4 linked regions of the Oryctolagus cuniculus genome follow. The protein of the gene in region 3 purifies or fractionates together with the protein of the main gene of each other region. This does not show direct contact. Links are inferred from orthologs where the notes say so. Each region holds a gene or a part of one and is shown on either strand. Other genes may lie near its edges.

Region 1 (7,196 bases), on a different chromosome or scaffold from region 3:
CAGTGGTTTCTGCCATGACTCCAGTCAATGGCGACTAGAGTGGGAAAGTGCTTACTCCTAGGCACAGTAACAGAGTGACACAAAAATGAATTGAAGTCTATATCACAATTCAACTGTAAGTCAAAGTTCAAAAGTCTCATCTGCATTTAACCTTTAGCCTTGGATTCAGAGCATATGCCCCATTTTAGGAATTAAAAAACTTCCATAAAGAGTTCACTCCAGCATGTTTGCTCCAGTATTGAAAGGTGATCTGCCCACCACTCAGTTAAGAAGGCAAGAGACTGTCATGCTTACCACATGCTGCAGTTCTGGTCGGTCTTCCAATTCTTCTACTACCTTTTTAATCTATAAAGAAAAGAACATTTTGAACAGAGTTATGAGGACACAAGTGCAGCTGATAAATTATCTGATAAACATCTCTCCTCTTTGTAGCTGAAGTGGTTCCGGACAGTCAACTGGTAACCAGTAACACATTGCTATGGTTTGATAGTTACAGAAGTGCAACTCCTGCTCCCCCGCTTCCTCTCTTGGGATGTCACTTCTTTCTTCTGCATGCATGCTGCTTGCCTCTCACACAAGCTTCCTGTCACCAGGTAATGCCCTGTGTTGCTTTGGGATTCTGCCTGCAAGAAGGCCGTCATCAGATGCAGCCCCCAACCTCAAGAACTATCAGACAAAACAAACTTCTCTTCTTTATAACTCTCCCAGATTATGGTATTATCAGCAGCATAAACTAGACACTTACTGAAATTTTGTCTTCATTGTCCAAAAGCATGTCAACAGCTTTCTGAAACAGAAATAGTCATGGTCATTGAAATCCGCTGTACAAGATGGGAATACTAAACTTAATATAAGGCATATGCTATCTCAGTTAAAGGTTAAATATTATTTTCTGTATTTCAGGAGGCCCTTTGCTTTTCAATGGCCCTTATTTAAAATGACATTTGTAAAAAAATGCATTTTCAAGAAGTCTCAATCTGAAACCTGTGTGCTTTGCCTACTATTGGCAAAGTGTCTTGCTATAACTCACCAAATATAAAAAAAAAATCTCAGCTACACATATTTTAGCCCTCTTCATGTCAAAGACATCACTATAAGTTCTTATGCAACTCTTGGTAGTTAATGGAAAACATCTCATTCCAGAACCACAAAGATGAGCGTTACTTGTGACTACTGGAACCTTGACTAAGTCTCCCTATGAGTGCCTACAGACATAATAAGGAACTGGTCTTAGGCAGAAAATATTTGAAAGAGCCAGAAAAACAATAATACACCTTTAGTGTCACAAAGATATAAGGTTACTGACTTTTAGAATTTACGTTGGCCACCCTTAACATTAATGAAACGTAAATTAGAAAGCTTACAAGAAGTAGCAGGAAGACAGCCCACCAGCCTGAGGCTTATACAGAGTTGCTGAACCCTGTTTCTTTTTTTCTAAGTTAATTTATTTCACTTGTGTGAGAGGTGGACATAGATAAAGCCACCATCCGTTGGTAATGTCCTTAAGAGCTGGGACAAGGGCACACTAATGCCAGGGGCTAGGAACTCAATTCAGGTCTCCCCTGTGGGTCAAGGATCAAATTACTTGAGCCATCACTGCTGCCTCCCAGGGTGTGCATTAGTAGGAAGCTGGAATTGGAAGTAGAGCTGGGACTTGAATCTATTGGCATCTTAATTGTTAAGCCAAATAGCCATCCTTGGGTCCTGTTCTTGACTTCACTACTACCTAGCTGGCTTCTCCAAACCTTATTTTCATTCTCTGAAATATAAGGATGCTGGGATAGATTATCCCTAAGTTCTCTTCCAATCAGAAATCTCTATGATTCCTTAATTTTGGTTCACGTTCCTGAATAACAAATGTGTTTTGGTCAATTCATTGTTTTTCTACGGCTACGTGTGCAAAACTAGGCTCTCAAGACACATGAGGGAAAGAGGATGGGCATGAGGAGAGCCTGGATGTGGGGAAAATGCAATTAATTTTTATTTAGGCATCTCATTTTCTTAATTATTCTCTGTCAGAGAAGCAGAGCCTTTGTACCTGAGCTTCCTTGGAACCCCCTGCTGCTTGGTGGATCTGCGCCTCTAAGGACGTGAATCATAAAAAAAGGAGGCTACCGCATCTTTTAGAGAAAGGTAGATCTAGCTCCTATCTAAAAAGTTTGTTTGTGGAGATTAATATAACACGTAATAGCGCTAATGCAGTAAAACATCATTAAAAATGCATGCAGCCCTTAGGGTTCTACTTTTTGATTTACCTAAAATTTCAATTTTCTGAATAAAGAACTCTGTTTTTTTTTCTTTTTCAGTCTTGTTATTTCTGTCACCAATACTTACAATTAGATTCCTTTTTATGAACTGGTGAGTGTGTACGTGTGCATACACGGTGTGTGTCATTTACAAAGCCACTATGAGCTGTGGAGGCTGAGTCCCCTCATTAGTCAAGTGAGTCACTACTCACATCTGCCCAGCAATAAAATAACACATTCTGCATGTCCTAGACCTGAGTCTCAGCTGAAACCAGTGAAGCTGCTCCTGCGAGATCCGTGAGAGCTCAAGAATCAAACAGCAGTAAGTGGATCAAAATAGAAGTGTATTTACAATTTTAACTTCTGAACCGAGATTAAAATGTTAAGTGAGCCAGAGCATATGCCTGGTTTATTTGTTTCTATGAATTACATGAGTTTTACAAACACACACACACACTCACCCCTTTAAGTTTCTTATCAAATTACATTTTCTTTTGCAGAATAACCACATCAAGGAAAGGATTTATGAATGCAAGCTATTAAAATAACAACATCTACACCTGGTAGAGTGCTTCCAGCATGATCAGCAGATGGCAAGGCTACCTGACTCTTTCACCAATCCAGCATTTGGACAGATATCTAACTAGTACAAATTTACAATAATACAGCTAGTTTATCCAGCACAAATAAGAAATATATTACCTCTGAATCAAAATCCATTAATAAAACTATTTTATCCTTGATGGAACTGAAAAGATTATGCTTGTGGATCAACTGGAAGACATCTTTATGCCTTAATGTAAGGTATATTTCCAGAGCATTGCCATAGTTTTTGTCATAGGTGTACCTGGTAACGCAAAAGTTTTGAAATTAATAGTCTTCACTAGCTCTAATTAAAACATACATATGCAGATCATGTTGCATAATATTAAAAATTAAAACATTTATTCAGAGGGGAAAAATTTATTGCAAAAAAAATTCCTTGGGAATAAACTACACATGACCAGTAGGTATCTCATTCTCAGAACCTTGTCTTTCATTTCACCACAATCTCAGAAAATTTGTAATATTCAAGTAATAAAATTTTTTATGGGGGGGAATGTTCAATCTCAAAAGTATTATAGAAATCTGTATACCAGAAAAATAAATTATGAACCAGTATGAAAAATTCTCAATTTAGTAAGAGAAAAATCAGCAAAATTCCTAAGCGTTGAGCTGAAAAATGGGTTATCTTCCAAAAGCCTATGTGTAAGTGGGTTCTACAGAATTGAAATGCGTTCTTTCCCTTTAGATTTTTCATGTTAAGTTCCTAAGTCAGCTTCCGAATGCCAGCTAAACAGGAACTGTATTGCTAGTTCTTTATTAACAGTAGTGCCAAATCTAAGGGACATCTAGAACAAGCTTTCCAAAGGAAGATGATAGGTGTTCTGAGTGAGAATGCGGGAAACACACCCCCTCTGCTGAAAACCCGAGGCAGTCCTGAATTCTAGGCCATTCTGGTCAACATCTGTTAGTTTTGGGCGAAAGCAGTAAGAAGATGGGGCCCCTGAGGGGGGTGGGGTGCTGAGGAAGAGCCAACAGGATGACTTCTGGGATGGACCCACAGTGTCCCTCTTCCTGCCCTAGCCTGAGGCTCCCTGACGGCATGAGTGTGTATCATCTATCTCTGCCTCCCAGGCATCTGGCACAAGGCTTCCTGCACCAGAAGAGTGCACAACAGATACGGAAAATAGCAACCAAGCTTCCATTCTGAGGCCAGAAAGTTGGGTACCACACTCGGTGCTCTAGTACAGCATCTCACTCAATGCTTAAAACGATCTCACGAAAAAACCTGTAATGTACAGATACGAGCTGATGCTCGAGAGGTTAACTGACTAAGTTCTAAGGATAACAGAATCCAGAGCCTTGCTCACTGGCAGACTGTTTTGCTTGCCTGATCTAAAACCCAGCTGCCCTTCTGTTGCCCAATGCTGCCTCTTCCCAGTGCTGAGGGCTGGGGTACTTCCTCCCTCTGACAACACAGCTGCATAGTTCCACACACTGTCCTTGCCTTCTAACTGTTATTTGAGATTTATGAAAAGTTCTTAGTAAAGGTAGAAAAATAATATAAGTGGCATCTTCCTCATTCAGAGTTTGCCCAATCTCCAGAATACAAAAGTTTACAATGAAGACCGACTTAGAGAAAGAAGTCCTAGAATGTACTCACAGTTCGGCCAGGGTTTTCAGTAAAGTCTTGTTCTGACTATCTTTCTTCAGGTGGTCCCGGACTGCTTGAACTATTACCGAATTGTTATACAGATCTCCAGGCCATTCTCGGATCAACGTGGCAAAACCCTATTTAGAGGGAGAAAGCAGAGAAAGACGCTCTTCAAATCAGACTTTATGAAATAAAAATTGGCTCCTCCCAGCACACACAACTTTTATAATAATCCTTGGAGTTTCCACAGTGACTTGTGCAGGTAGTGGGCTGAATGGGGGCTGGGGCTCTGGAAGATGAAAGCAGGATTAGGTGGGTGGGATTTTCCACCCCTCAACCTCTGGAGAAGGGACAGCGGCTAAAGGCTGAAAAGATCCCCCAGTGACTAATAGGTCAATCAATCATGCCTAAGTAATCAAGCTAACATACAAATCAAAGGACAGGTTTTTTTATTTTATTTTTTGACAGGCAGAGTGGACAGTGAGAGAGAGAGACAGAGAGAAAGGTCTTCCTTTGCCGTTGGTTCACCCTCCAATGGCTGCCGCGGCCGGCGCGCTGCGGCCGGCACACCGCGCTGATCCGATGGCAGGAGCCAGGAGCCAGGTGCTTTTCCTGGTCTAGCATGGGGTGTAGGGCCCAGGCACATGGGCCATCCTCCACTGCACTCCCTGGCCACAGCAGAGAGTTGGCCTGGAAGAGGGGCAACCGGGACAGAATCCGGCGCCCCAACCGGGACTAGAACCCGGTGTGCCGGCACCGCTAGGCAGAGGATTAGCCTAGTGAGCCGCGGCGCCGGCTAAAGGACAGGTTTTGTAGAGAGAACATGGAAGCCCTGAGCCCCTTCCCATATGTCTTGCCCTGCGCATCTCTCCATCTGTATCATCTGTAACATTCTTTAATAAACAACCAGCAATGAAAGCGTTTCCCAGAGTTCTGTCAAAGCTGAGGCCGGGGTTGTGGGTGGCCTAACTGGCATTTTAACCGCGAGGCGAACTGCCTGCCTCTGCTTTCTACATGTCTTAAACTTCCCATTGAGAACAAGTCAGTATGTCCACAGCAGAATGCCACACCTCATAATCACTTTCCAAGAATTCATGTAAGATCATTTCGTAGATGAGTGGCTTCAGAACTGGATCCCCTCTTGGCAAATAAGGACTGATAGCCTAAGGGAAAGGGAGAAAAAAGAAAAAACCTTCAAAAAGCAGTGAAATGAACCTATATCATAATTATGCACAAGATATAAATGTACATTTCTAATTTAAAAATTAACAAAGTGAACCTTTATTTCTCTGGTCTTACTGAGGAATTAATGAAAATCTAAATAATAAGAGAGAGAATGTCACAGAGATTATAAAAGTCAACTTCTTAGGTAATCAAGGAGTATAGGTCATCTGATCACCTTTCTTCAGAAACTGAAATATATTCACCTTTAAAACTCACAGTCGTCTTCTGAATTTAGGAAAAATACCTCTTGTATTCCTAGTACAGTATTTTCAGTGTTGTGTTAGAAGTTAAATATTTCAGTACTATTCAGTTACCCTAGAGTGCCCCCTACACACCATGGTCGTGCTTTGGGCTTGGGACATGAACGAGGGTCATTATCGCCCACCAGCTCAGAATTCCACAGGCAGACATCTGCACAGGTAACTGTGCCAATCTATGCTGAGTGCTGCAGGAAAGGCGGTAACAGGACTGTGGCAGCAGGGGAGAACCGTGCCCACTGAGGCTGGGGTCTGTGAGGCAAAGCAAGAGAAGGACATCTGGCAGGGGAAAAACAGTAGCAAAGGAGTGCAGCCAAGGATGTGCATCTGTGCTATGGAGGCCCGACAGACGTGAGACAGGGGTCACTGAAGGGAGATGAGGCTGGACAGGAAAGAGATGTGGGGCCGTGCAAGCAATCCCAATTTTATTCTATGGGAAGAGGGAAGCCATAGGTACTAGGGAAGTCACAGATCTTTCTGAAGGCCCTTCCAACAGCTCAGGCTGATACAGGAGTGGAAGGGCAGAGCCCAGTGGGGCTGACATGGCAACGAGGTGGAATATGAAATAGAACAAGAGGTAAGATGTTCTCAAGAACAGTGGCTTTGAGCTGTCGAGCATGGGGGAATGGGTTTACTGTGTGTGATAAACACAGACTGAAAGGAGGACAAATTTTGGAAGGAAGTAGAGTTACATTTAGCTGTCATTATCAGCAGTATAAACAAAGAGAAGTAGCCATCACACACAATTCCAAAGAGAGATCTGGGTTACGTAGTCATCCGGGTAAAGAGGGCCACAGGACTGAGAAAATCCTTGAGGAACAGCCTGGTAAACGCCGTAAGAAGTTTGTTGAGGGCCTCTTGGGGAAGAATAAATTTATGGGACTAGCACAGTACAAGTCAGAGGGTTGAGGAACTAAATAACCATGATTTTAAAAAATTATACCATAATTCCAAGAGAGCATTCAGAAGGCCCACAAATACTGAAAAAATTTAAAAACATTTTAAACTCAGGAATAACTGATGATTCATCTGGATGTTGCATATTGTTGAAAGATTTAAAAACAAATATAAAAATTTTATTAGTGTTACATTGTCAAATTTTTCCATTTGTTTTCCAACAGGTAAAATGCTAATTAAAAATATATTATTTCTTCAGCAAATTAAAAAAGTCCTATGTTTTACAATGTACTGAGATTATACCTATTTTTCAAAATCATTAAAAAGAACATGAAAATTCTATCTAAACACAGAGAAAACTGCAAATAAAGTAAA
Region 2 (7,963 bases), on a different chromosome or scaffold from region 3:
TTCCCCTTTCCTTTCCTTCCTTAATTACATGAAACACTGACACAATTCATATAAGTCTAGCTACCATCAGTGTGTTCCACACTCCCTCTCCATTCCACCATGGAGATCATTTTAGTGACTGCTCGTTTATCTCTCCACAGTTTCTTTGGAAAATAGAAATATATTATGTATTCTACACACACACACACACACACACACACACACACACACAGAATCTGCATGTTTCACAGGCTCCACACACACATTAAATCTGACAACCAGGCTCTGGAATCAGACATCACTTGCTGGATACTGATTTTGGAAAAATCTCTTAAATTCTCTATGATCAGGTTCTTCCCTTGTAAAATGGGGGTGTTATTAACTTCATAAAAGACTAATAAAGACCATTACTCAGTTAATAGAAGACATTACTATTAATATCATTATTAATTTATCAAAGATTTAATGAATACCCACTGAATCAGGAACTTTTTCAGGAAATGTAGATACAGCTAAATTTGTAAATATACCAAACAAAATTCTTGCTCTGAAGGAACTTACTTTTTTAAATTTTTATTTACTTTATTCAAAAGGTAGAAAGAGAAAACAAAAAAAAAAAAAAAAAAAAAGAGAGAGAGAGAGAGAGAGAGAGAGAGCTAGCTTAGACAAATCTCCCATTCGCTGGTTCACTCACTCCCCAAATGCCCCAGGATGGGACAGGCCAAAGCCAGGAGCCAGGAACTTAATTCAGGTCTCCCATATGGATGGCAGGGACCTAATTACTTGCACTTCCAAGGACTGGCATTAGCCAGAAGCTCGAATTGGAAACAGAGCTGGGACTCTTTAACCCAGGCAGTCTAATATAGAATGCAGAGGCCCCAAGCAATTGTCTTTTTTTGGGAAAAGATTTATATCATTTATTTGAAAGGCAGAGTACCAGAGAGAGAGGGAGACACAGATAGAGGAAGAAGAAGAAACTGCTGGTTCACTCCCCAAATGGCCACAACAGTTGGGGATGGGCCAGGCTGAAGCCAGGAGCCAGGAATTCCATTTTGGTTTCCCACTTGGGTGGCAGGGATTCAAATAATTGGGACATCTCTTGCTGCTTTCCAAGGAGCACCAGCAGGGAGCTGGATTGGAAGCAGAGCAGCCAGGACTCAAGATGCACCTGATTTGGGATGCCAACGTTGCAAGCAGCAGCTTAACACACTACGCCACAACACTGGCCTCCCAAGCAGCGTCTTGACTACCAGGCCAAGGAACTTACTTATGTGAAGAGAAACCATAACAATTAAATTTATAGGGGCTGGTGCTCTGGCACAGTGGGTTAAAGCCATGCCCTACAGTGCCTGCATCCCACATGTGTGCTGGTTCGAATATTGGCTGCTCTACTTCCAATCCAGCTCCCTGCTAATGGGCCTGGGGAAGCAGAGGAGGACAGCCCAAGTCCTTGGGCCCCTGTACCCACGTGAGACCAGGAAGAAGCTCCTGGCTCTTGGCACTGGCCTGGCCCAGCTCCAGCCATTGAAGCCATTTGGGGAGTAAACCAGCAGATGGAAGATTCTTTCTCTGTTTCTCCCTCTCTCTGTAACTGCCTTTTAAACAAATTAAATAAATCTTAAAAAAAAAAAAAAATAGGAAAATGGTGAGACTGGTACCAGAAAGAAGCAAGAGGGAGGTGTACAGGAAATAAAGTCAGGAAGTGACCAGAAGCTAATCGTGTTGGGCGTTGCCAACAAGCATAAGGACTTGGGAACTTATTCTAGATGTGATGTGATGCCACTGGAGGGTTTGAGCAAAAGGCAGGTATGATCAGATTGAGGTTTTCAAAGGTCCATTCTACCTCCATGAACAAAAACAACTAAAATGGAACAAAGGCAAACAAAGAGAAATGATGGTGTCAAGAGTAGTTAATAAGTGGGGCAGACACTGTGGTGCAAATGGATTAAGCTGCACACCATATTGGAGTGCCAGCTCTACTTCTGATCCAGCTTTCTGCCAATGTATCCTGAAGTGCAGCAAATGATAACTCAAGTGCTTGGGCCCCTGCACCCGTATGGCAGACAGAGCCAGACAGAATTCTAGGCTCCTGGCTTTGGCCTGACCCAGCCTCAGCTATTATGGGCTTTTGGAGAGTGAACCAGTGCATGGCAGACTACTCAATATTTTTTTTCTCTCTTTCCTTCTGTATGTGATTCTGCCTTTCAAACAGATGAGTAGTAATCGCTCAGATGAAGAGAAATGACTGGATTTCAGATTTAATCTGGTGGTATGACAGACAAGATTTGCTGATAGAAAGGATGCAGAGTGCGAGGATGAGAAAAGTCAACACTGTGCCAAGGCTTCTGGCCAGCTGCTGGGTTGCGGGATGCAGGGGAACATCACGGTTTGCTGGAGTGGAGTCCTCCTCATTTCCATTTCCCAGGGGAAGGCCTGTGCTGCCTCTAAGATACCTTCCTGCTCAAATGCTGTCTGCCCTGTGTCATCTGGCTCCTGGATGCACTTTCCAGCTAGGGACACATGCAAATAAAAGGCACAATGACTAGAAAGAGCAGTGATTCTTGCTGTGAAAGAATGAAAACAAAGTAGTTGGAGGCAGGAGGCAGTACATGGCTTCCTGCAGCTCAGGATCTTTCACAGCGCCCAAGGAGGCAAAGAGCATTTCTGTGGCTTGGTAAGTAACCGAGGCAGGCCGAAAGCCTGGCACTTCAAAATCGTGTTCCTGAAAAGCACAGGCACAGGAATCTTCATTATGCAAGCGGAGTTGGTGAGCGAGTCTAAGAGATGTGCAGGGACCACAGTCAATGACTCAGATGTGCCAGGTCAAGCATGGCAGGCAGTGGTGTCCGCCCTGGTCAGAAGCATCTGTGCTCAGCTGAGCTGGGCGCCCTTGACCGTGTTACAGTAACAGGCAGCACATGCCTCCACTGTCACTTCTCTTGTATCCTCATCTGTTCCTGGGTCTTGTCCCCCACTGTGTGTCCTACAAGCAGGGGCATGCTCATTCCTCCTTGTATTCCCGTCCCCAGCAGAGGGAAGGGGACCATGCAGGCACCTAATACAGACTTGAGGGAGCAATCAGGGAATGAAGCCCTCTGTAGAGTCTCAGGTCCTTCATTTTGTTAATTTCTTTATTTGCTCCATTTTTAATTTTTACTGAGACCAATTCACAGCAGGAAATGGAGGTTTTCTTGAGATGTCTGGAGGAAGTAGGATTATTTCTTAATCCAAAGGCCCAAGAGAGCTCAGTAGGGAGGTGTGATTTTAGAGGGGCCCACATCTACATGAAGATTGTAACAAATGAACTCCATGCATTGGGGGGTGGGGGTGTGCAAAATGGAAGGGAGGAAGGGAATCCCACTGCAAAGGCCAGGAAGAACTCTGCACAGACGAGTGAACAGCACTGTCAACAGAGTGTGCAGGATGCCAGCCACCACTAAGATTCCACACCGCCATCAGGGGCACCTAGTTCAGGATAAGATCTGCTTAAAGTTATGAGCCACTTTTTGTGGTCCTTAGTTTCCAGGACCTGAACACTAGTGGGACAGACTGAAATTATTTCTTTGTTGGCTGTTATCAGACACAACCACTCCCAGCTAATAGTCAAGGTTTGGACCTCTGCAACTTTCATTTGTATCCCAGAGCACACAAGAGATGCCTGACCATGCCTTCTGCACTAGCCAATTCCAAGAGGATTATGATAATGCTTATGGGTTAGGTGTCATGCAGTCTGGTATGATGCTCTTCTACCTACAGAGTTAGACAACCTGGACACTTTGAATACAAAGCAATCAACTACCTGGCTAGGTTAAAAGCTTAGAGTACTATGTGAGCCACCTACAAAAATGAGAAGTAGATGTATGAGTGATCACTAAGGGGGAAAAAAGTGCATAGCGTTAACTTGTTCCATGTCTAAAGACCAGTGCTGTCTTTCACCTAGAAAACAACACAATCCTTTGGACAAGTTCAAGTCCCTGGCAGACTGAAATTTTCCCACTTTGTTGTCCTCTACGCAAAAGACTGCTTGGGAAACAACACGGGCCCAAACTGAGCACAATTAATAAGGAAAGCTCAGCCTCTAACTACGCACAGAGCAAACGGAAGCGGCACGTCCCTAAAATGCCTAGGTCGCTAGGGATCGCCCAAGCAGCCCCAGGGACATCGCTGTCTACGGCCGGCGGTCATCCCTCCGCCCTCCGTCATCCAGGTCCTTCTCGGGGAGCATCCGACCAGAGTGCATACAGCCAGATGCCTGTCCACTTGCCCAGCCTAGCTAAAGGTCCCAGCTGCTCCCGCCCTGACCTGGCCTCGACCCCGCCGCCCCTCGGCTCACCCCAGGCAGCCAGACAGTCGATCTGCAGAGGCAGCTTTTCCAGAATCGGCACCGGCTCGAAAGCGTCGTGCATGGCGGCGAGCAGACAAGCGCCGCCCTCGTCTCGCCCTGCGTCCCGCAGGCTTGTGGCCTGAACGAGGCCGGGTTAGGGGTAGACCGAGATTCGGCCCAGGACCCCCCACTACAGGGCCTTCAGCAACACAGCCATCGTCAAGCCCGGACTTCCTGCCGGCTGCGCCCGCCCCTTCCGCAGTCTAGGTCCCGCCCCTTCCGTCCTGGCTCCCAAAGTCCCCTCAAGGAATTTGCTGGCGCCCAGGTTCCTATCTTCGCCCTGGACCTAGTTTCTCCGTGGTGGTGCCTAAAGTAGCTAAGGGCTTGAAAGGAAGAAGAAATTTGAATCTTAGCTCTGTCTTAGGCAATGAACGTGGCGGTTAAGTATTCGTACTTTAGCGTCAGACTTGGGATGGAGATCTGGCATTTAGAAAATTCAGCTGTACCTTAGGAGAGTTAATCCTTGGATCCCCAGGTTCTCAAAGTGTGGGGCTCCGGACCAGAAGCAACAGCATCACCTGTGATGAAGTCTCGGGCCTCACTGTAGCTCTACTGAATCAATTTATGGAGGGGAACAGCGGTGTGTGTTTTAGCCAAATCCCCAAGGTGAGTCTGCACACAAGCTTTACCTTTCCAGGCTGGTTTCTCAACTGTAGACCTGTAGCACTGTTGACACTGAGGGCAGGATAATGGGGGCGGGGAGAGGTCTCTGTTGGCAATGCTAGGATGCTTAGCAGCATCCCTGAACTACTCAGCGGACAGATGCCACTGCCCTGCTGCCCAGACACAGAAACAAAGATGTCTGATTGCCCAATGTCCCGTCAGTGACCACCTTGAACAGGCTAGTGCTTCTCAAATTTAATGCACACACAGATCACCTGGAGACACTCTTATAATGCAGATTTTGACTCAGCACAGGGCCCTCAAAGGAGCATTTCTAACATGCAGCCAGAGGTTGGTGTCTTGGAAGATAGAAAAATAAAGCTCTTTTTAAATTGGTAAATACATTCCTACCAATTAAGTCTAACAAGCTGAATCTTAAATCTTAATATTCCTTTTAGGAAGCAGTGACACGGCTCTTCCATCCTAATGGTTCTGTACTGTCTGAGGTTACCTTAGTATTCACCCTGGAGACTTGAAAAACAAAAAAGCTAAATCTGAGCTGCAAGAATTTTTGTATTTGGTAATTGTCCCTACAAAAACATATATCTCAAGACTAGCATTTGAGTTGAAAGCAAAAATGTTAAAGAAAAGGCTGATTATAGTATATGTTAAAACAGGCCGGAGCCTCAGCTCACTTAGCTAATCCTGCGCCTGCAGGGCTGTGGCCCGGGAGTGCAGTGGAGGATATCCCGGGTCCTTGGGCCCTGTACCTACATGGGAGACCAGGAGGAAGCGCAGTGCCAGCGTTAGCAGCATTTGGGGGGTGAACAAATGGAAGGAAGACCTTTCTCTCTGTCTCTCTCACTGTCTAACTCTGCCTGTGAAAAACAAAACAAAACAAAAAACTGGTCCTGGTCATTTTGTTTTTATATTATAAATGTAGGGATCCTTGTGCCACCTTTACCAAATGCTATTCTGAAGGCAATGAAAGAGTATTTTCAAGTAGCCAGAATAAACAGAAATTGCTAAGCAAACCTTATATTATGATATTTTTCCCACAGAAGTTGGTCACCTTCTTGAAAATTTAGAATTACCAGAGCGGAGCTGGAAGAAGGTCTAGTACCTTTTAGTTCCAGGCCTAAGCAAACCACCAAAATAAATAGGTCACTGTGAAACTACAAATTCCTTCTGGATCTGTCCTAAGAAATAAAAAACTATTTCCAGTCCCAGTAACAGTAAACAACAGCTGGAATTAGCAGACCCCAGGGTCTAAAATTTGAACTATACACTCTTATTTTATATAATAGGGCTTTCTGCTAGTCTCAAGTCAACATCAAGCCCTATAAAGTACACTGATCAACTGCCTTGTTGCATTGTAACTCTTATTACTGTGCAACAGCAACACAAGACAAAACCACCAGCTTGTTGCTAATGTATTATTGGCACAAAAATATAGTCAGCTACTCATACTGTTGTTCCTTAGAGATACTGCCTTGGTGACTTCTTAAAAAATCACCAAAGAGCTATAGAGAAATGGTACATACATGTTAGCACTTCCACCACAGCAGGAGCCAGTGAACAGTGGTCATGTGGGCAGTGTACTTACTGGTTTCAACAGAAAGCAAGATAATCCAGAATAAAAGCCGTGAAAAGAAAATGTCCCCAAGAGAATATGGAAGACAGAAGGTTCTTTTGAGAGAGTATGGAAAAAATGAGAAAAATCTATTAATTTTTGTTAAAATTTTTATATTAAAAAGTGGCATGAACTTATGTAGAACAAAACTCTTGGGAAGGCAAATTGGATAAAACCATTAAAACAGAAATATAGTGCTTCAAGTGAATCCCATCACCGTGTGACATCCCTTATAAACAGCTTCTAAACTACCGCCAGATACTGGACCAGTCAAGCCTGCAACCCTGAGGAAGGAGCAGCAGTCCAGGAGCGCCACGCTACTTCAGGCAACAATCACTGAAATGAAGCCCCCTGCACCTGTTTCCTTTCTTGCAGCTCCCTCTTCTGAAGGTGCTCTGGCAAGATGCTCTCTCTTAGCACGTGAGACGGAGCACCGCTCTGCAGCTAATGCAACACACAGTGGAAAGCACGAAGGCCAACAAAGCACTGCCCAGGACTCTGCCACACTGCCCTTGGAGGCTTACAAAACAGTAGTTAAAAGTCTCGGAGTGTGCACCACATTGCCAGCAATGGGATATGTCACAATAGCAGATGTCAAAAGAGTTAAGCAAATATTTCTCTTTAAAGTACATCTGAAATAGAAAAATCTTCAATATACACCATTTTGTAAACAAAATTGCACTTGATTTTGTTTTTATATGATCTGAATCACACTGTAACAGTTTCTTTTTCTTTCAATTATTTATACAACCATGGCACCTTAACTCAGAAGGGGCCCCTTTTTCTCAAAACAATCTCTGCAAGATGTAACCTTGACTTCCCAGGAAACCAAAAGATAATTACCAATTTCCCCCATCACCCATGTAACTCCCTAAATAAATAAAAATTACAGGCAGTTGCTCCTGGAGATTACACATCATGGTGTTGATGATACAGTCCTTTTGAAGGCGTTAAACTTTTTAGTTTGACAGATTAAACAACTGAAACACAGGAAGTTCAGGAACAACATAGATAAGTTGCATAAACATCCATGTCAGGGCTGGGGAGGGACAGGGGCATCAATGTTGTAAATGAGAAGCTTGCAGATTTTTCTCATCCTATGAAATTGTTTTCAGTAAGATGCTCTCCTTGTTCTGACACCTCTCGCCAGCTCCAGTGCACAAAGATCAAGGAACAGATCAGGATGTCATTGCTTCCTTTAATCTCACAGAGCAGTGTAGAAGACTGACACAGGGGCTGATCTCTTCCCTGATACTAAACATCTTGAACTGCCAATCTTCCCATTCTTTACTCCATTTTGGACCTTTCAAAGTGTGTGATCATTCGTTCCTAGGAAGAAAAAAATTTAATAATTATTTATGCTC
Region 3 (7,871 bases):
AATCATATGTTATGTATGCATGTTAACTCATTTAAATCTTATAGCTACCATTGAGATCTTATTCTCCCCAGTTAACAGATGAAGAAGCTAGGTTTGGGGATAGATAACTTGCCCAAGTTTAAAAAGACAATATTCCAGGCCGGTGCCACGGCTCACATGGTTAATCCTCCGCCTGCGGCGCTGGCATCCAATATGGGTGCTGGTTTCTAGTCCCAGTTGCTCCTCTTCCAGTCCAGCTCTCTGCTGTGGCCCAGGAGGGCACTGGAGGATGGCCCAAGTGCTTGGACCCTGCACCTGCATGGGAGACCAGGAGGAGGCACCTGCCTCCTGGCTTCGGATTGGCACAGCACCAGCCGTGGCGGCCATTTGGGGAGTGAACCAATGGAAGGAAGACCTTTCTCTCTGTCTTTCTCTCTCTCAATGTCTATAACTCTACCTGCCAAAAAGAAAAAAAAAATGACAATATTCACATATGGCTGCACCCATGGCTCAAACAGTGTTATCTTCCCCTGTCTGTTTCTCCACTCTGCTGTCCTCTGTGATGGCTTTGCTCTTGGGAGGAGTTGGGCCCTTTGTCTGCAAAGACAGGTGTAATTCCAATGTGACACTGCCAGAGAGAGCAGACATTTCAGAAAAAACCTTGGGACATGGGTCAAGGAAAAGGAGACTGACCAACCAAGGTCATGTGCACATCTTGGGGTGGGGGTATTAAACCAATAACCTGATCCCAACAGAATCACATGGAATAGAGGAGGCTCATCCCAAAAGTACAATGAGAGGGAGGTTCTGTTACCAGAAGCCAAGGGAGTGAGATAAGCCAAGGGAGTATCAGAGATGGAAGCCAGATTGAAATAACCCTTTAGCCTCAACTCCTAGCAGTCGTTCATGCGTTTCTAGACACATGACCCTCCTCCAGGGCACCTCCCAAGTTCTCCTTTCTGCTCCCACAGCAAACTGCAGAAGCCTTTATTATTGCTCAAATGGTAACATGAGACTTATTTCTCCATCTGGAGTATTTCTGGTGGACTCCTGGTCCATATACGAGATATTTTGTGACATGTGCACTGTGAGTATACATTTGTGGCATTTCCCTCCTGCCCACCTCCGGCCCACTCCTAGGACCATACTCTTATGCAGTTTCACAAGGGCCTGTTGAGCCAGATGAGAAGAGATAGACAAGCCTTTGGACTCTTTGGCAAGGCTGAAGGCCTAGGAAGGAAGGGAAGACCAAGAGACAGAGACTCCATGGGCCGGCGCCGTGGCTCACTTGGTTAATCCTCCGCCTGTGGCGCCGGCATCCCATATGGGTGCCGGTTCTAGTCCCGGTTGCTCCTCTTCCAGTCCAGCTCTCTGTTGTAGCCCGGGAGAGTAATGGAGGATGGCCCAAGTGCTTGGGCCCTGCACCCACATGGGAGACCAGGAGGAAGCACCTGGCTCCAGCTGTAGTGGCCATTTGGGGAGTGATCCAACGGAAGGAAGACCTTTCTCTCTGTCTCTCTCTCTCTCTCACTGTCTATGACTTCACCTGTCAAAAAAAAAAAAAAAGAGAGAGAGAGACAGAGACAGAGACAGAGACTCCTGAACAGCAGATAAGAGATTAGTCCGAGGAGCTCCCCATAGCACCCGAGGATGGCGGCTGTGCACAAAGCACAGAAGGACATAATGTGCTCGATTTGGGGCAGGGCGTCCTGTGCCAAGCCACCAGTGCTCTTTGCTGTGCCAGTTATGATGAGAAACATTATCCTTATGCCACAGTAACTGGATTTCCCTAGAAAATTCCTACTTCCCACTCTGTTTAAAATGAGTTTAACACCAAGTGAATAATTAGTCTCTATGGCCTTATTTTAAAACCACAGTGCTCAACCATTAACTACACTGAACGCCCACAGCCCCATCAGAGCCGGGGAGGTTCTCACGCCTGGAGAGGATCACCCAGAGGCAGCCCGCATACTGTCCCAGCCCCAACTCCAGCCGTCGGTCTTACAAACGGAAGTAGGCCCTGGGACCCCAACCTTTCTGGAGATTTGAGGGACGCAGTCCTTCCTGGAGACGCAAGGGAACACATGACCCCTGGCCAAGGCCAGTGGAACTTGGTTCCAAGAACTGGGCTGTTTCCCCAGCCACCGCTCCGTGCCCTCAAAGCACTTGCACATGGCGGCTCCCCCCAACACCCACACCCACTCAGGCCCCGGGCTTCCATTTGGCCAAGGCCTGCAAGCAAGTGCCCAGAGCCCACAGCCCCTGCCAAGACGCCTGCCCGGCCCTTCAACTGGCTGTGGTCACTACTCAGGACATTTTGTTCTGAATCCACTTGGAAGTGTATGTACCTGCTAGGTGGAAAGCAAACAGCCGCGAAGGGGCTAGAAGCGACGAAGCAAACAGCGCCCCGGAGGCCCTCTAGGCGCTCCCGCGCCCCAAGGTGTGCTCATGTTTTCCTGGCAGGGAGGCAAAGGTGGGGCCAGCGTCCTTGGGACCACTCACAAGGGGGCGACAGTCCGCTGAGGGAGGCGAAACAGCAGCCCCTACGTCAGGCAGACGGCGCCGAGGGCTGGAACCTAGAAGCCAGGAGACAGCCCGCCCGACGCCAATGTACACCAGGAGACACCCTGCCCTCTCATGCACTCCTTGGGGCGAGCGCTGGGCGAGGGCGAGCCTTTGGTCCCGCCCCGCTGCTCCTCGGGGCCCTGCGATTGGCTCCGCAGGCCGAGGGGGCGTGGCCACACGCCAGCCGGCGTGATGGCGTCAGGCGCCGCGGGCGCCGTTTCCTGTTGTCGGTGGCCCGGAGAGCGCATCGTCGACTTGGGGCTGAGGGGCGCCTGCGGCCGAGAATGCCCCCAGCTCCTCTGCCCGCTCCTCTGGGTGAGTGAGGGTTCCAGGAGCGAGGAGGGCAGCGCAGGGGCGGCGGGGCCGAGACGCGCACGGGGGGTGGGCCTTCCGCCCTTTCTTGATTGCACAGCACCGGTTGCCTTGAGACTGTCCGGCTTCGGAGCCCTCACCCGTTCTCGCCCGCACCCCACGCTCTGCCACTGCCGGCCCGTCTCCCCCATCTGCTCCCACCCGTGACCCGACTTCTGCCTTACCCGTCGCCTCGCCGCGGGTCTTGAGTAAATACAGCTGCTCTCGTGACCCCACGTTAGACCCCTGCCATCTCGCGTCTGGGCCACATCCCCGCCCCTCCGCTAACGCCCTCAACCTTGCCTCTCAACCCCCGTGGCGACCCGAAAGGTCCGCGCAGACCTCCCCCAAACCCACCCTTCTGGTTTCCCCATCGCTGGCTCAACTTTCTTATCAGCCTCCCACAGCCCCTGCCCAGCTCCCCAGAATCTGCCCCCTTCTCATTTAGGACCCATCACCAAAGTAAGGCGCCTTGTTGAGCGCACCGCTTTCTTAGCGACTGATGCAGCCTTCTCCCGAGTCTCGGGTGTATCTGCCTTCCAGCCCCGCACATTCTTCCTTTCCATCTGCTACCGCCTGAGCACACCGCATCCCTGGTTTGCTAAACTGCCCCCAGCTCCTGCAGCCTGAGTTCCTACCACCCTTCCCCACTCTTACTAAGAATGAGCTCTCCGTAGCCTGTCGCTTCTGCTGTCCCCGCTGCCACCCTTCACCGCAGCGTGGGGCCCGTTCTTCCCTCGATCCAGCTTCCATTCAGCTTAAGTCCCGTTAGTGCAGAGCCAACCGCCGGCTGCCCTCCAGCTGCCAGATCTGGGTATTTGCTGGGAGCCAGGCAGTTGGAAACCTGGCAGCTTGAGTGGGCAGGTGGGGCTCAGGTGGTAAATACATGTGGAGGGGGAGGAATCTCTTTATCCTCTACGCCACACTCTTGGGTGGGGGTTTTGCTTGGTGCCAGCACCCAAGTACCTGTCCCTGGCGATTGCATTTCTGACATCCATATTAAATTAATTGTGCCAGCTAATGGAATAGGAGTTGTCATCCAAATGTCTGGAAGGTGAGAGATGGCCACTCAGCCTGGGGCACTTCCTTCTGGCTGGTGTCCTGGTCCTGAAGAATCTCAGGGAGTAGCACTGTGTGGCATTGACTGTGGTCACAGCCATGTCCATGTGCGTCATCCTGGAATTTGTGGAGGACCCACTCCCAGTGCTGCTCCTCGCCAGAGCTGGTGCAAGTCCATCCCAGTGCTGAGCGCAAGGACCCGTGGGTCCCCAGACACCTCATGGTTGTGAAAGTACAAGCGAGTGGATCCTGAAGAGGCTGAGGCGTGGGTGGGCACAGAGGATGTTGAATTGCTTCCTCTTTTGAAGGTGTCGGAGCTTTGGCCGTTTGGCTTCCATGCACACGGAGCCGATTATTCCTAGAGCAGTGAGGCACGAGGACCTTCCTGAGGCACCGATTCCCATGCTCAGTATATGTAGTCTTGGGGGAGAGGGTTTGGTGCACAGTTCCTCAAACTTCTAATGCCCCGGCCTCAGACGTGTTGGCCACTTGACAGCAATTTTACAGGACCTCAAGAGAACCCCTTGTCTGTGTTTGCCATTTATACTCTTGCTTCTTTGAAAATCAAATGCTGTTCAACTTTCAATATATTTTTTAAAATGATTTATTTTATTTATTTGAAAGAGAGAGGTTTTTTTTTTTAAAGATTTTATTTATTTATTCGGAAGTCAGAGAGTTACACAGAGAAGAGAGGCAGAGAGAGAGAGGTCTTCCATCCAATGGCTCACTTCCCCATTGGCCGCAATGGCCAGAGCTGCGCCGATCTGAAACCAGGAGCCAGGAGCTTCCTCCAGGTCTCCCACATGGCTGACAGGGGCCCAAGGACTTGGGCCATCTTCCACTGCTCTCCCAGGCCACAGCAGAGAGCTGGATGGGAAGAGGAGCAGCCGGGAGTAGAACTGGCACCCATATGGGATGCCAGTGCTTCAGGCCAGGGTGTTAACCCACTGTACCACAGTGCTGGCCCCAAGAGAGAGATTTTTTTTTTTTTAAGATTTATTTGTTTTTAAAAGCAGAGAGGCAGAGAGAGAGGTCTTCCATCTGCTGGTTCACTCCCCAGATGGCCACAAAGGCCAGAGCTGGGCCAATCTGAAGCCAGGTCTCCCAGATGGGTGTAGGGGCCCAAGGACTTGGTCCATCTTCTACTGCTTTCCCAGGCCATAGCAGGGAACTGGATCAGAAGCGGAATATCTGGAACTTGAACCAGCATCTATATGGGATGCCAGCACCACAGGCCACAGCTTTACCCTCTACACCACAGCACTGGCCCCAAGAGAGAGGTCTTCCATCTGCTGGGTCACTCCCACATGGCCGCAATGGCTGGAGCTGAGCCAATCCTTAGCCAGGAGCCAGGAGCTTCTCCCATGTGGGAGATCAAGGACCAGGGCCATCCTCTGCTGCTTTCCCAGGTGCATCAGCAGGGAGCTGGATGGGAAGTGGGGCAGCTGGGACCTGAACTGGCACCCATATGGGATGCCAGCACTGCAGGCCGGGGCCTTAACCTGTTGTACCCGAGCGCTGGCCCTCTACTTTCAATATCTTACCATTAAGGAGCAGTATATCTGAGTGGTTTCCACTTGATTGGCAGCCTGGTTTAATGGAAAGCATCCCACAAGGCCCACCTCTGAAGAGTTGGCACCTCAGTTTTCCGAGGTCTGTGAAGCGGAGATACCTGCCCTGTGCTTAGTTTTTATTTATTCATCAATTCATTCGAGTATTTTTTGAGCACCACTGTGTGTGCCACACACTGTTTACATACTGGAAACACGGTTGTGAACAAGTCAGGCAGTGTCTCCGTGTTCATTCATTCAGAGTTTACTCCTTGTTGGAATACTGTGGGATGTGGAACGGGAATACTGGGGAGCTGGATGTTGCTGGATGGAAGGAGGGAGGGAGGGAAGAAAGGCAGCCAGTGTTTCCAGCTTCACGGTTCTCACCCACTGTTCCTTCGGAAATCACAAGCTAAGAGTTCTCTCATATTTGAAGCAGTTGTTTCAAAGGTCCGCACCTTCCCACCTCTCATCCCACCCCTTCCAGAACACTTGTCCAGAAATCCAGCTTTGTGCAGTTGGAAGGGGGTACTGTTTCCTCATTCAGCGCTCACATGCCTGAAGGATCAGCTGCCTTTCTGAATCAGAAGATATCTTTGTCATTCTTTTCCAACTGAAAATGCATGACTCATCCATTGGTACCGCAGCTGGATGGCTTTAAACACCAGGCTGTTGTTCCGAGCAGCCAGGTTCATGGTTCAGGCAGCGGAGGAAAGACTTTTGGGAGTTGGCTGACAAGTCTCTAAAGAGAGGTTGCTGTTTACTGGTGGTTAAATGTTTTGAGAGCGGTGAAGCCAGGGGTTATCCATTTCTTCTTTCAATGTAAGTCTCATCTAAACTGTTCTCTTTTTTCTTTCTTCCTTGGTCTCTGGAGGAAGTAAAATTGGACATCCTATATACAAAGAGACAAGAATTATAATGAAGAAAAACAACGAGGACAATTCCTAGTGTTCTGACTGCGTAAGAAAGGGCAGCTCTAAAACCTGGGGACCATGGCAGGACCTGGGCTCAGCCGACTGGGGCTATAAATCTGATCGGTCAAGCCTGTTTCCTGTTGGTCTTAGGCCTTATTGATAAAATGGAGCTTTTGAGTACCTTGGAAGAATCTGTAAGTAGTAGCTTGCCTGAAACTTTTCAAGCCAAAAACCAAAGAGACAGATCAGTCGGGCAAAAGGCACAGGGGTTAGAATGTGGGAACCAGAGAATTCTGTGTGTTATCTGAGGCCCGTTTCTCTTGAGCCTCAGCTTTCTCCTCCGTGAAACAGGGATGATCCTCCTGTCACAGGATTGCTGTAGAAATTAAAGTTAGAGAATGAGCTCAGAGCAGCTTGCTTTGTTTACTCTGGAAAACTGTGTAAGGGTGAATCAACACTCGGAGGTGGCAGGAGACAGTGTGTTATTTCCTAAATGACAAAAACTACCTCCTTACCCCTACAAAACTTTCACCAACACTGTTTGAAAAACCCCTTGGTAGCATCGCCCAAGTTCTCTCTGTATTCCCTTCCGCATGGTTCTTGAAACCATGCCTCTCTTTGGTTTGGTTTTTGGTATCAAGAAATAGTGTTTTGAGGACAGGAGGTGATACCAGTTCCATCTGATAGTAAACCGGGGCCTGGGCCACCCAGGTGGATAATGGAACCCGGACCAAACAGTCAGGAGCCCCAGAGCCTCCTTCCAGTCCCCCAGGTAGGTGCTTAGGTCCCTGGTGGACAAACTCCTGTCTCCTGAAGCTCTGGGGTAGGTGTGAATAGGCCAAAGAAAGGTGCGTCCTGAGTCGTGGCCTGCATGGGTGGTGACGTCTTGGTCTGGTTTTGCGAATTGTCGGGTTCTCTTGGAATTACTGCTCTGCTTGGAGCTGTTTTCAGTCATTTTGTGGTTTTTCTCACACTTTGTTTGAGGTGACAGTTACTTGTCTCTTGTCTGGCCCTGCCCTGCCCTCTCTTAGCTTCAGCCTACTTTGTTTTTGTTTTTGTTTTTCATCAGTTACTTGGCCAGAGTACCCACTCATTAATAGCCCTCTCCTAATGAATACTTTATTGTGCTCAGCTAATTAGTTAATGAGACCGTAAAGGACTTAGGCTATTATTTATATCATTGAAGTCTAGCCCTTACTTAGGGTCCAGACCTTGAAGCTGGCAGCTGGGGAGTTGGAGGGCTCTGTCTAGAAGGGCATTCCTTAGGCTGCTGGAATTGCAACTGGCATGGCCGCCCAGCATCTTAGAGGCAGAGGAGCTGAGCTTTGCCTGCTGGGCTGTACCTGGGCAACCTTGAAAGAGCCCAACCCCCAGGACCAGCAGCGTTTCCAGGAGTGACTGACAGCAGCACACTCCTTTTCCTGGCTGCTGGTGGCCAGAGTGTGGAGCTGGT
Region 4 (7,196 bases), on a different chromosome or scaffold from region 3:
CCACTCTGAATCTCACTTTCACCCGGGCCCCTGCGTGCAGCCTGCCTGCAGCCCAGGGGCCGTCTCTCGCTACCCCCCTCCCGTATTTCCAGCCACCTCTACTGAAGACCCTCAGCTGGGAAAATGCAAACTCAATTTCTCTTTTACCTTCTATTTCTTTTCCTTCCTATTCTTCTTTCTTCAAGAAATTAGGAATATAAAGAGAGAAGCAGGAAGGAATACGCAGTAGTATAACGGAGGAAGCTGGCCCCAAAGTAAGTGCTGTGTTCCTGTTTTCTTCCACGGGGTTTCATTTCCTCTCTGCAACTTCTTCAAAAAGGGTTTCCTGCACGCGCTAGAACGGTCTCTCCATCAGAGCCTCCAGCCAGCTGGTGCCGTTCATTAGCTTCGTGGTGGCGATGACGTACTCCGTCCCTCCATCCTCCAGCTGGGAGAGGAACCGCAGCGCCGCGATCTCAGCGAAGGTCACACCCCCGAGGAAGAACACCAGGGTGACTCGGTTTTCTCCTGGTTGACCTAAAATGTGAACATTTCAGAATTAGAAACTATTATTGGTGCTTCTCTTTCCACTTTTTATTTATTTTTAAAAGATTATTTATTTATTTGCAAGTCAGAGTTACAGAGAGAGAGGAGAGGGAGAGAGAAAAAGAGAGAGAGAGAGGTCTTCCATCCGATGGTTCACTCCCCAGTAGCTGCAACGGCCGGAGCTGTGCTGATCCTAAGCCAGGAGCCAGGAGCTTTCTCCGGGTCTCCCATGGAGGTGCTGGGGCCCAAGGACTTGGGCCATCCTCCACTGCTTTCCCAGGCCATACAGAGAGCTGGGTTGGAAGTGGAGCAGCTGGATCTCGAAGCAGCGCCCACATGGGATGTTGGCGCTTCAGGCCAGGGCGCTAACCTGCTGCACCACAGCGCCGGCCCTTCTTTCCACTTTTTAAAACATTTTATCACTAGGGCTGGTGCTGTGACATAGTGGGTAGAAGCCGCCATCCCATATGGGTGCCAGTTTGAGTCCTGGCTGCTGTGCTTCTGATCCTGGTCCCTGCTAACGCACCTGGGAAAGCAGTGGAAGATGGTCCTACTGCCTGGGTTTGTGCCACCCAAGGGGGAGACCTGGATGAAGCTCCTGGCAAACGGCTTTGGCCTGGCCCAGTGCTGCCCTTTGTGGTTATCTGAGGTGAGAACCAGTGGATGGAAGATCTCTCTCTCTCTCTGTCTCTCCCTCTCTGTGTAACTCTTTCAAAGTAAATAAATAAATCTTAAACAAAACCATTTTGTCCTCCACATGGATGAAAAGGCAGATGCGTCTTGGAAGACGCTGCGTTTGAACCTCACACACACCGATCTGCAGCTCCAGGCTTTTCCTAACTGCGGGTTCCTCCACGCAGAGGCGGGGGCTGCTGCTCCCGAGGGAGTGACGTGGTTCTCGCACTTAACGACCACGAGAGCGGTCCTGGTCCCAAGCACGTGACGCAGCAACTGCACGACACACCCACCGCGCCACACCTGGCCGCCACTCACGTTTCTTCTGCAGCCCTGTGGGCAGGGGCTGCCGCTCCTCGAAGTGGGGCCCCGGGAGGATGCGGAGGACCTCCTCGATGCTGCGCCAGCCGGGCCGCGACAGCAGCTGGGCCAGCCGCACGCTGAGCGGCGCGTAACCACTGTACACGTAGGATATATCAGTAGGGTTCTGTTAAAGAAACAAACGGAAGCTCGGAGACTCGGAGACGTAGACTACGAACTGCGGCTGTTTGGGCAGTCCAGAATTATTTGATTTGTATTTGAAGGCAGAGATACAAAGCCTGTCCCCCTCTACACACACGTACACGCACACGCACACACACGCACACGCACCCTGTGCTTGCTCCGATTCGCTCCACTCCAGCTGCGCGGTTCTTGGCAGCCAGAGCTTCCCTTTCGACTCCGAAGCCGGGCAGTCAGCCCCAGGTTCCGCACAGGAGAACTTGCCATTCTGCTTGACAAGAAATTCCCTGGGGGTAACTGAGCGCACTCTCCCCAAGTAACATCATGCACGACCTTTGAACCCAGCACTGTACTTTTAGGGTACTTTGGGCTTTTCTCCTACAGAAGTGTTTGTAGGCCCTAAGACAGTGGACAGAGTGAAAGCGCAGGAACTGAAACACTGTATGGAATGGCAAAAGGCTGGACACAACCTCAACCTCTATCTGCTAAATCCTAAGCTATATCCTCAAAACTACTAAGTAGCCAGCAACTACAAAGAAATAAGGAGGAGAAGGGGGAGACCACAGGAAATCTTCAAGACCCCGTAAGCGGTGGGGAAGTTGAAGACAACCGGAGGCCGTCCAGCGGGGCTGGGTCTGTGAGCCCCTGGCAGATGTGGGCAGCAGGCGCATGCCGAGGCTGGGAGGCGGGCATCCTCCCCACCGCAGCATCCTGTCCCGTAGGTGTGAGCCGGTGCTTCTAACCACATCTTCAAGCTAGTCGCAATTTTCCACCCAGAATTCGCAGAAGGGGCTGAGCCCACCCAAGAGGAGCCAGGCTGTCTCCAAGAGACTCCCACTGTCTCCATGGCCCCAGGCCAATCAGCATACACAGTGAGAAACCCCGTCCACGGGGCACCTCCATAAACACCCAACGAAAAGACAGTAAAGCCTTTGAGACCCCGGCACTTCCCGAGACCCAGAGTCCTGCGCAGGCGTGCATCTGCTCTCCTCTCAGACGAGGTGCTTCACTGCCACTTTGCAAAACAAAAATAAAGTCTCTGCTTTTTCACAAAGCGTTTCCCAGCTTTTTAATTCTATACTAAGCTGAGGAAAAGAACCCACCAACTTGCTCCGGGAACCATTGTCCCCTCCGGGACAGTAACACAACCCAAACCAGCAAGAAGGGACTTCAAAAAGTTGGTGGAAAATGAAATCTGGGGCCAGCGCTGTGATATAGCAGGAAAAGCTGCTGCCTGCAGCACCAGCATCCCATACAGGCACTGGTTCAAGTCCGGCTGCTCCACCTCTGACCCTGCTCCCTGCTAATGTGCCTGGGAAATCCCGCAGCAGAAGATGGCCCAAGCACTCGAGCCCCTGCACCCAGAAGCAGCTCCTGGCTCCTGGCTTGGGCCTGACTCAGCCCTGGCCAGTGTGGTCATTAGGGGAGTGCACCAGCGAATGGAACTTGCTCTCTCTCTGCCTCTGCCTCTCTGTAACTCTGCCTCTTATAAATAAGTAGGAAACAGAAAGAAAAGGAAATTCAACAAGTTCATTTTGGGGCAGTAAAAAACTGAAACCCATGCAGTTTTTTCATATGTATTTTCCACGAATTTTACTTATTCAAGAGGAAGAGAGAGAGAGAAAGTGAGAGGGAGACAGACGTACTCTGAGAGCGCTCTCATCTACTGGCTCATTCCCCCAAATGCTCCCAGTGCTGGCTAGGACTGGCCAAAGCTCAAGTTGGGAACTCAACCCAGGTCTCCCACACAGGTGCCAGGACCCAACTATCTCAGCCATCACTGCTGCCTTGCAGGGTTGGCATTCGTAGGAGCTGGAGTCAAGACCCAGAGCCAGGTAGTAAACCCAGGACCAACAATGTGAGACACAGGTTTGTTGTTGTTTTTTTTTTTTTTTTAATTTTTTTTTTTCGACAGGTAAAGTGGACAGTGAGAGAGAGAGACAGAGAGAAAGGTCTTCCTTTGCCCTTGGTTCACCTTCCAATGGCTGCCACGGCCAGCGCGCTGCGGCCGGCGCACCGCGCTGATCCGATGGCAGGCAGGAGCCAGGTGCTTAACCTGGTCTCCCATGGGGTGCAGGGCCCAAGCACTTGGGCCATCCTCCACTGCACTCCCGGGCCACAGCAGAGAGCTGGCCTGGAAGCGGGGCAACCGGGACAGAATCCGGCGCCCCGACTGGGACTAGAACCCGGCGTGCCGGCACCGCAAGGCGGAGGATTAGCCTAGTGTGCCGCAGCGCCGGCCAAGACACAGGTTTTAACAGGCGTCTTAACTACTAGGCTACATGTCCAGCCTTCTGTGAAGTTCTTGAAGCTCCCTCATTTATTATGGACATAATGAAACAGAAAGTAAGGGTACTACCACTTTCAGGGAGAAAAAATTTAATTTTGCTATTGAAAGAGGCGACTGTCAAGTTATGAACCTTTATTTCCTTTATGACAAACCAAAAAGAAAGAAAAAGAAATCTAGAAACGTGCACCATTTGTGTAAAAATGTTTGTATATGTACACCACCTTTCTGGAAAGAGATTGAAAACTGGCTACAGTGGTTGGCTCCCAAAACCAGGGTTCACTGTGGCAGGAAACGGACTTTTCAAAAGCTGCCTGCCTCGCCTTACTCAAGCTACCTTGCTTGACTGTGGACGGGAGCTGGACATCCACCATCTTCCCAGGCTCTGGGCCCAGCAGGCACCTGCAGGCTGTACTCGCCCCTTCCCAGGCTCTGGGCCCAGCAGGCACCTGCAGGCTGTACTCGCCCCTTCCCAGGCTCTGGGCCCAGCAGGCACCTGCAGGCTGTACTCGCCCCTTCCCAGGCTCTGGGCCCAGAAGGCACCTGCAGGCTATACTCGCCCCTTCCTAGGCTCTGGGCTTCCTCTCTGACCCTGCGGAGGCAGCGGGGTGCCCTGACCAGTGGCTCCTCATCCCTGGTTCTGCCTGCTGACTCTACACTGCTCCTCTCCAGTTCCAGCAGAGGCTCGGGAACACCTCCCTGCCCTTCGGGCCTGCGCTGGCGAGGGCTCTCCACTACACCGGCCGTAGTCCCACCCTGACCATGTCTACGTTCAGTTCTCCTCAAGACACCCACTCTGAGGACATTCTCCTGCCTGCTGGGATTCTGATGAACACAACACGTGAACACACGCCTTTTGCAAAACGTCAGGAAGTTCTTTGTAGAAAATAAGGCAGATGTCACAGGGAGTCAGATAACAGAGAGCTGCCTTACTTGCTCATTGACGTCATCCATCCAGAGGCGCAGCGTCTTCCGGATGGTCGGGTAGTTGTTCCTGCCTCCCGTCTGCGGTCTCAGCAGGCCGGCCTTTTCCAGGTTGTGCAAGGTCAGGATGTGCTCGTAGCCGTAAGTCTACAAAACATTCCGTTTGGCCTTGATGTCAGATCAGGAAAAGCATTTCTGCAATTTTTGTTTGTTTTTAATTTTTTTTATTTATTTGAAAGTCAGAGTTAGAGAGAAAAGAAGAGAGAGAGAGAATGAGATCTTCCATCCACTGGTTCATTCCCTACAATGGCCAGAGCTGTGCCAGTTTGAAGCCTCAGGAGCCAGGAGTTTCTTCTGGGTCTCCCACATGGGTGCAGGGGCTCAGGCACTTGGGCCACCTCCTACTGCTTTCCCAGGCCATTAGCAGGGAGCTGGATCGGAAATGGAGGAGCTGGGACTCGAAAGCCAGCGTTTGTATGTGATGCCAGCATCACGGGTGGTGGCTTTACCTGCTATGCCACAGCGCCAGCCCTGCACAAAGGGCACCTCTGACAAATCCGTTTGTATTCCAAAAATAACTAGTAACTACTGAAGTCCAGCCATAACCGCCAGTGCACACAGCAGACAGGGCAAAGGATGAAACTTGTCCTAACATGCTTGCCCATTACTGTGAACACAGCTCACGGCTGCAGAGTGATTTAACACTTTCAAAGTATTAAAATAGCATCAAGTAAATTACAGCATATTTATACACGGGGTATAATTAGTTCAAAAATAAATAAGGCAGACCTACACTTCCTGATAGGAAAGACTTCTAGATATAGTCTTTTTTTTTTTTTTTTGACAGGCAGAGTGGACAGTGAGGGAGAGTAGGGAGAGAAAGGTCTTCCTTTGCCGTTGGTTCACCCTCCAATGGACACTGCAGCTGGCGCACCGCACTGATCCGATGGCAGGAGCCAGGTGCTTCTCCTGGTCTCCCATGGGGTGCAGGGCCCAAGCACTTGGGCCATCCTCCACTGCACTCCCGGGCCACAGCAGAGAGCTGGCCTGAAAGAGGGGCAACCGGGACAGAATCCGGCGCCCCGACCGGGACTAGAACCCGGTGTGCCAGCGCCGCTAGGCAGAGCATTAGCCTAGTGAGCCGCGGCGCCAGCCCTAGATATAGTCTTAAGAACAAAAAAGAGGTAATATCATGTATAGTTGGATTTTGTATCTGTTAAAAAACGTAACAGCAGCCACCACTTTCTACAAGGGACAGGCGCTTGGCGCAGCGGTTAAGATGCGCTTGGGACAGCCTCATCCCACATGGGACTACTAGCGTTCAAGTTCCAGTTCCCTGCTGATGCATACCCAGATGGCGGCTCCAACACCTGGGCCCCTGCCACACAGGCTGGAGGCCCAGGTGCAGTTTCTGCCTCCTGGACCTAGCTCGGCCCAGCCCCGGCTGCTGCAGTCATTTGAGGAAGCAAACCAGCTGCTGGAAGAGCTCTTTCCAAATGTCAGAATGTCTGTTACTTTCTCTCTTTCAAAAGAAAATAAACAGGCCAGCGCCGCGGCCCACTTGGCTAATCCTCCACCTGTGGCGCCGGTACACCAGGTTCTAGTCCCAGTTGCCCCTCTTCCAGCCCAGCTCTCTGCTGTGGCCAGGGAGTGCAGTGGAGGATGGCCCAAGTGCTTGGGTCCTGCACCCCATGGGAGACCAGGAGAAGTACCTGGCTCCTGGCTTCGGATCAGTGCGGTGCGCTGGCCGCGGCGGCCATTGGAGGGTGAACCAACGGCAAAAGGAAGACCTCTCTCTCTGTCTCTCTCTCTCTCATTGTCCACTCTGCCTGTCAAAAAATAAAATAAAATAAACAAAGAACGTGAAGAAAAGAATACTGTCTAGGAGCGGGGCACTGCTCTGATCGAGCGCTTCACTCAGTTCACTCTGCCATCTGCGCCACGACCCCACGAGTGGGCAGCACTGTCAGGTCCCTTTCACGCACGCCACCCAGCTCACAGCTCATGAAGAGCAGAGCTGGGCCTGGACTCAGCCAGTCCCACTTGGGTGTCTGCAAACAAGGGAGTCTGGAAGTGGCTGACGCTGGTGACATCTGGGGAGCGAGACGGGGTGTCGCAGAGTACAGAGATGGTCCCATTTTGCTCCAGGTGCTTCTGCATTGTTTGACGCACCTTATGTAAACTTGGAAAACGGTAAAAATAAAAACAAATTTTTAATTTTAATAATAATGTACTCAGGGAAGGCACTGTGGTGAAGCAGGTAGTCACCACCTGCAGTGCCGGC

Evidence for each region.
Region 1: the proteins of PLEKHM1 (region 3) and VPS41 purify together in Homo sapiens (affinity purification with western blotting; 4 studies listed by BioGRID and IntAct, with this or other methods). This does not show direct contact. The link is inferred for Oryctolagus cuniculus from reciprocal best matches to the Homo sapiens genes PLEKHM1 and VPS41.
Region 2: the proteins of PLEKHM1 (region 3) and VPS39 purify together in Homo sapiens (co-immunoprecipitation; 3 studies listed by BioGRID and IntAct, with this or other methods). This does not show direct contact. The link is inferred for Oryctolagus cuniculus from reciprocal best matches to the Homo sapiens genes PLEKHM1 and VPS39.
Region 4: the proteins of PLEKHM1 (region 3) and VPS33A purify together in Homo sapiens (affinity purification with western blotting; 3 studies listed by BioGRID and IntAct, with this or other methods). This does not show direct contact. The link is inferred for Oryctolagus cuniculus from reciprocal best matches to the Homo sapiens genes PLEKHM1 and VPS33A.

Annotation. Positions count from the first base shown.
Region 1 is NC_091447.1:28,829,799-28,836,994, forward strand, and holds part of VPS41 (vacuolar protein sorting-associated protein 41 homolog), read right to left. Parts: intron 5,607-7,196; coding exon 5,514-5,606; intron 4,581-5,513; coding exon 4,453-4,580; intron 3,094-4,452; coding exon 2,949-3,093; exon of another isoform or gene 2,747-2,948; intron 2,569-2,746; exon of another isoform or gene 2,499-2,568; intron 2,134-2,498; exon of another isoform or gene 2,020-2,133; intron 788-2,019; coding exon 746-787; intron 594-745; exon of another isoform or gene 433-593; intron 346-432; coding exon 295-345; intron 1-294. UniProt on the Homo sapiens protein: Plays a role in vesicle-mediated protein trafficking to lysosomal compartments including the endocytic membrane transport and autophagic pathways. Acts as a component of the HOPS endosomal tethering complex.
Region 2 is NC_091443.1:65,247,305-65,255,267, forward strand, and holds the start of VPS39 (vam6/Vps39-like protein), read right to left. Parts: upstream 4,558-7,963; 5' UTR 4,386-4,557; coding exon 4,313-4,385; intron 1-4,312. Other genes in the region: TMEM87A (transmembrane protein 87A), read right to left, coding at 7,887-7,928. UniProt on the Homo sapiens protein: Regulator of TGF-beta/activin signaling, inhibiting SMAD3- and activating SMAD2-dependent transcription.
Region 3 is NC_091448.1:18,646,399-18,654,269, reverse strand, and holds the start of PLEKHM1 (pleckstrin homology domain-containing family M member 1), read left to right. Parts: upstream 1-2,728; 5' UTR 2,729-2,736; coding exon 2,737-2,859; intron 2,860-4,982; exon of another isoform or gene 4,983-6,326; intron 6,327-6,383; exon of another isoform or gene 6,384-6,464; intron 6,465-7,871. UniProt on the Homo sapiens protein: Acts as a multivalent adapter protein that regulates Rab7-dependent and HOPS complex-dependent fusion events in the endolysosomal system and couples autophagic and the endocytic trafficking pathways.
Region 4 is NC_091452.1:6,883,885-6,891,080, reverse strand, and holds part of VPS33A (vacuolar protein sorting-associated protein 33A), read right to left. Parts: intron 5,060-7,196; coding exon 4,922-5,059; intron 1,688-4,921; coding exon 1,519-1,687; intron 517-1,518; coding exon 335-516; 3' UTR 1-334.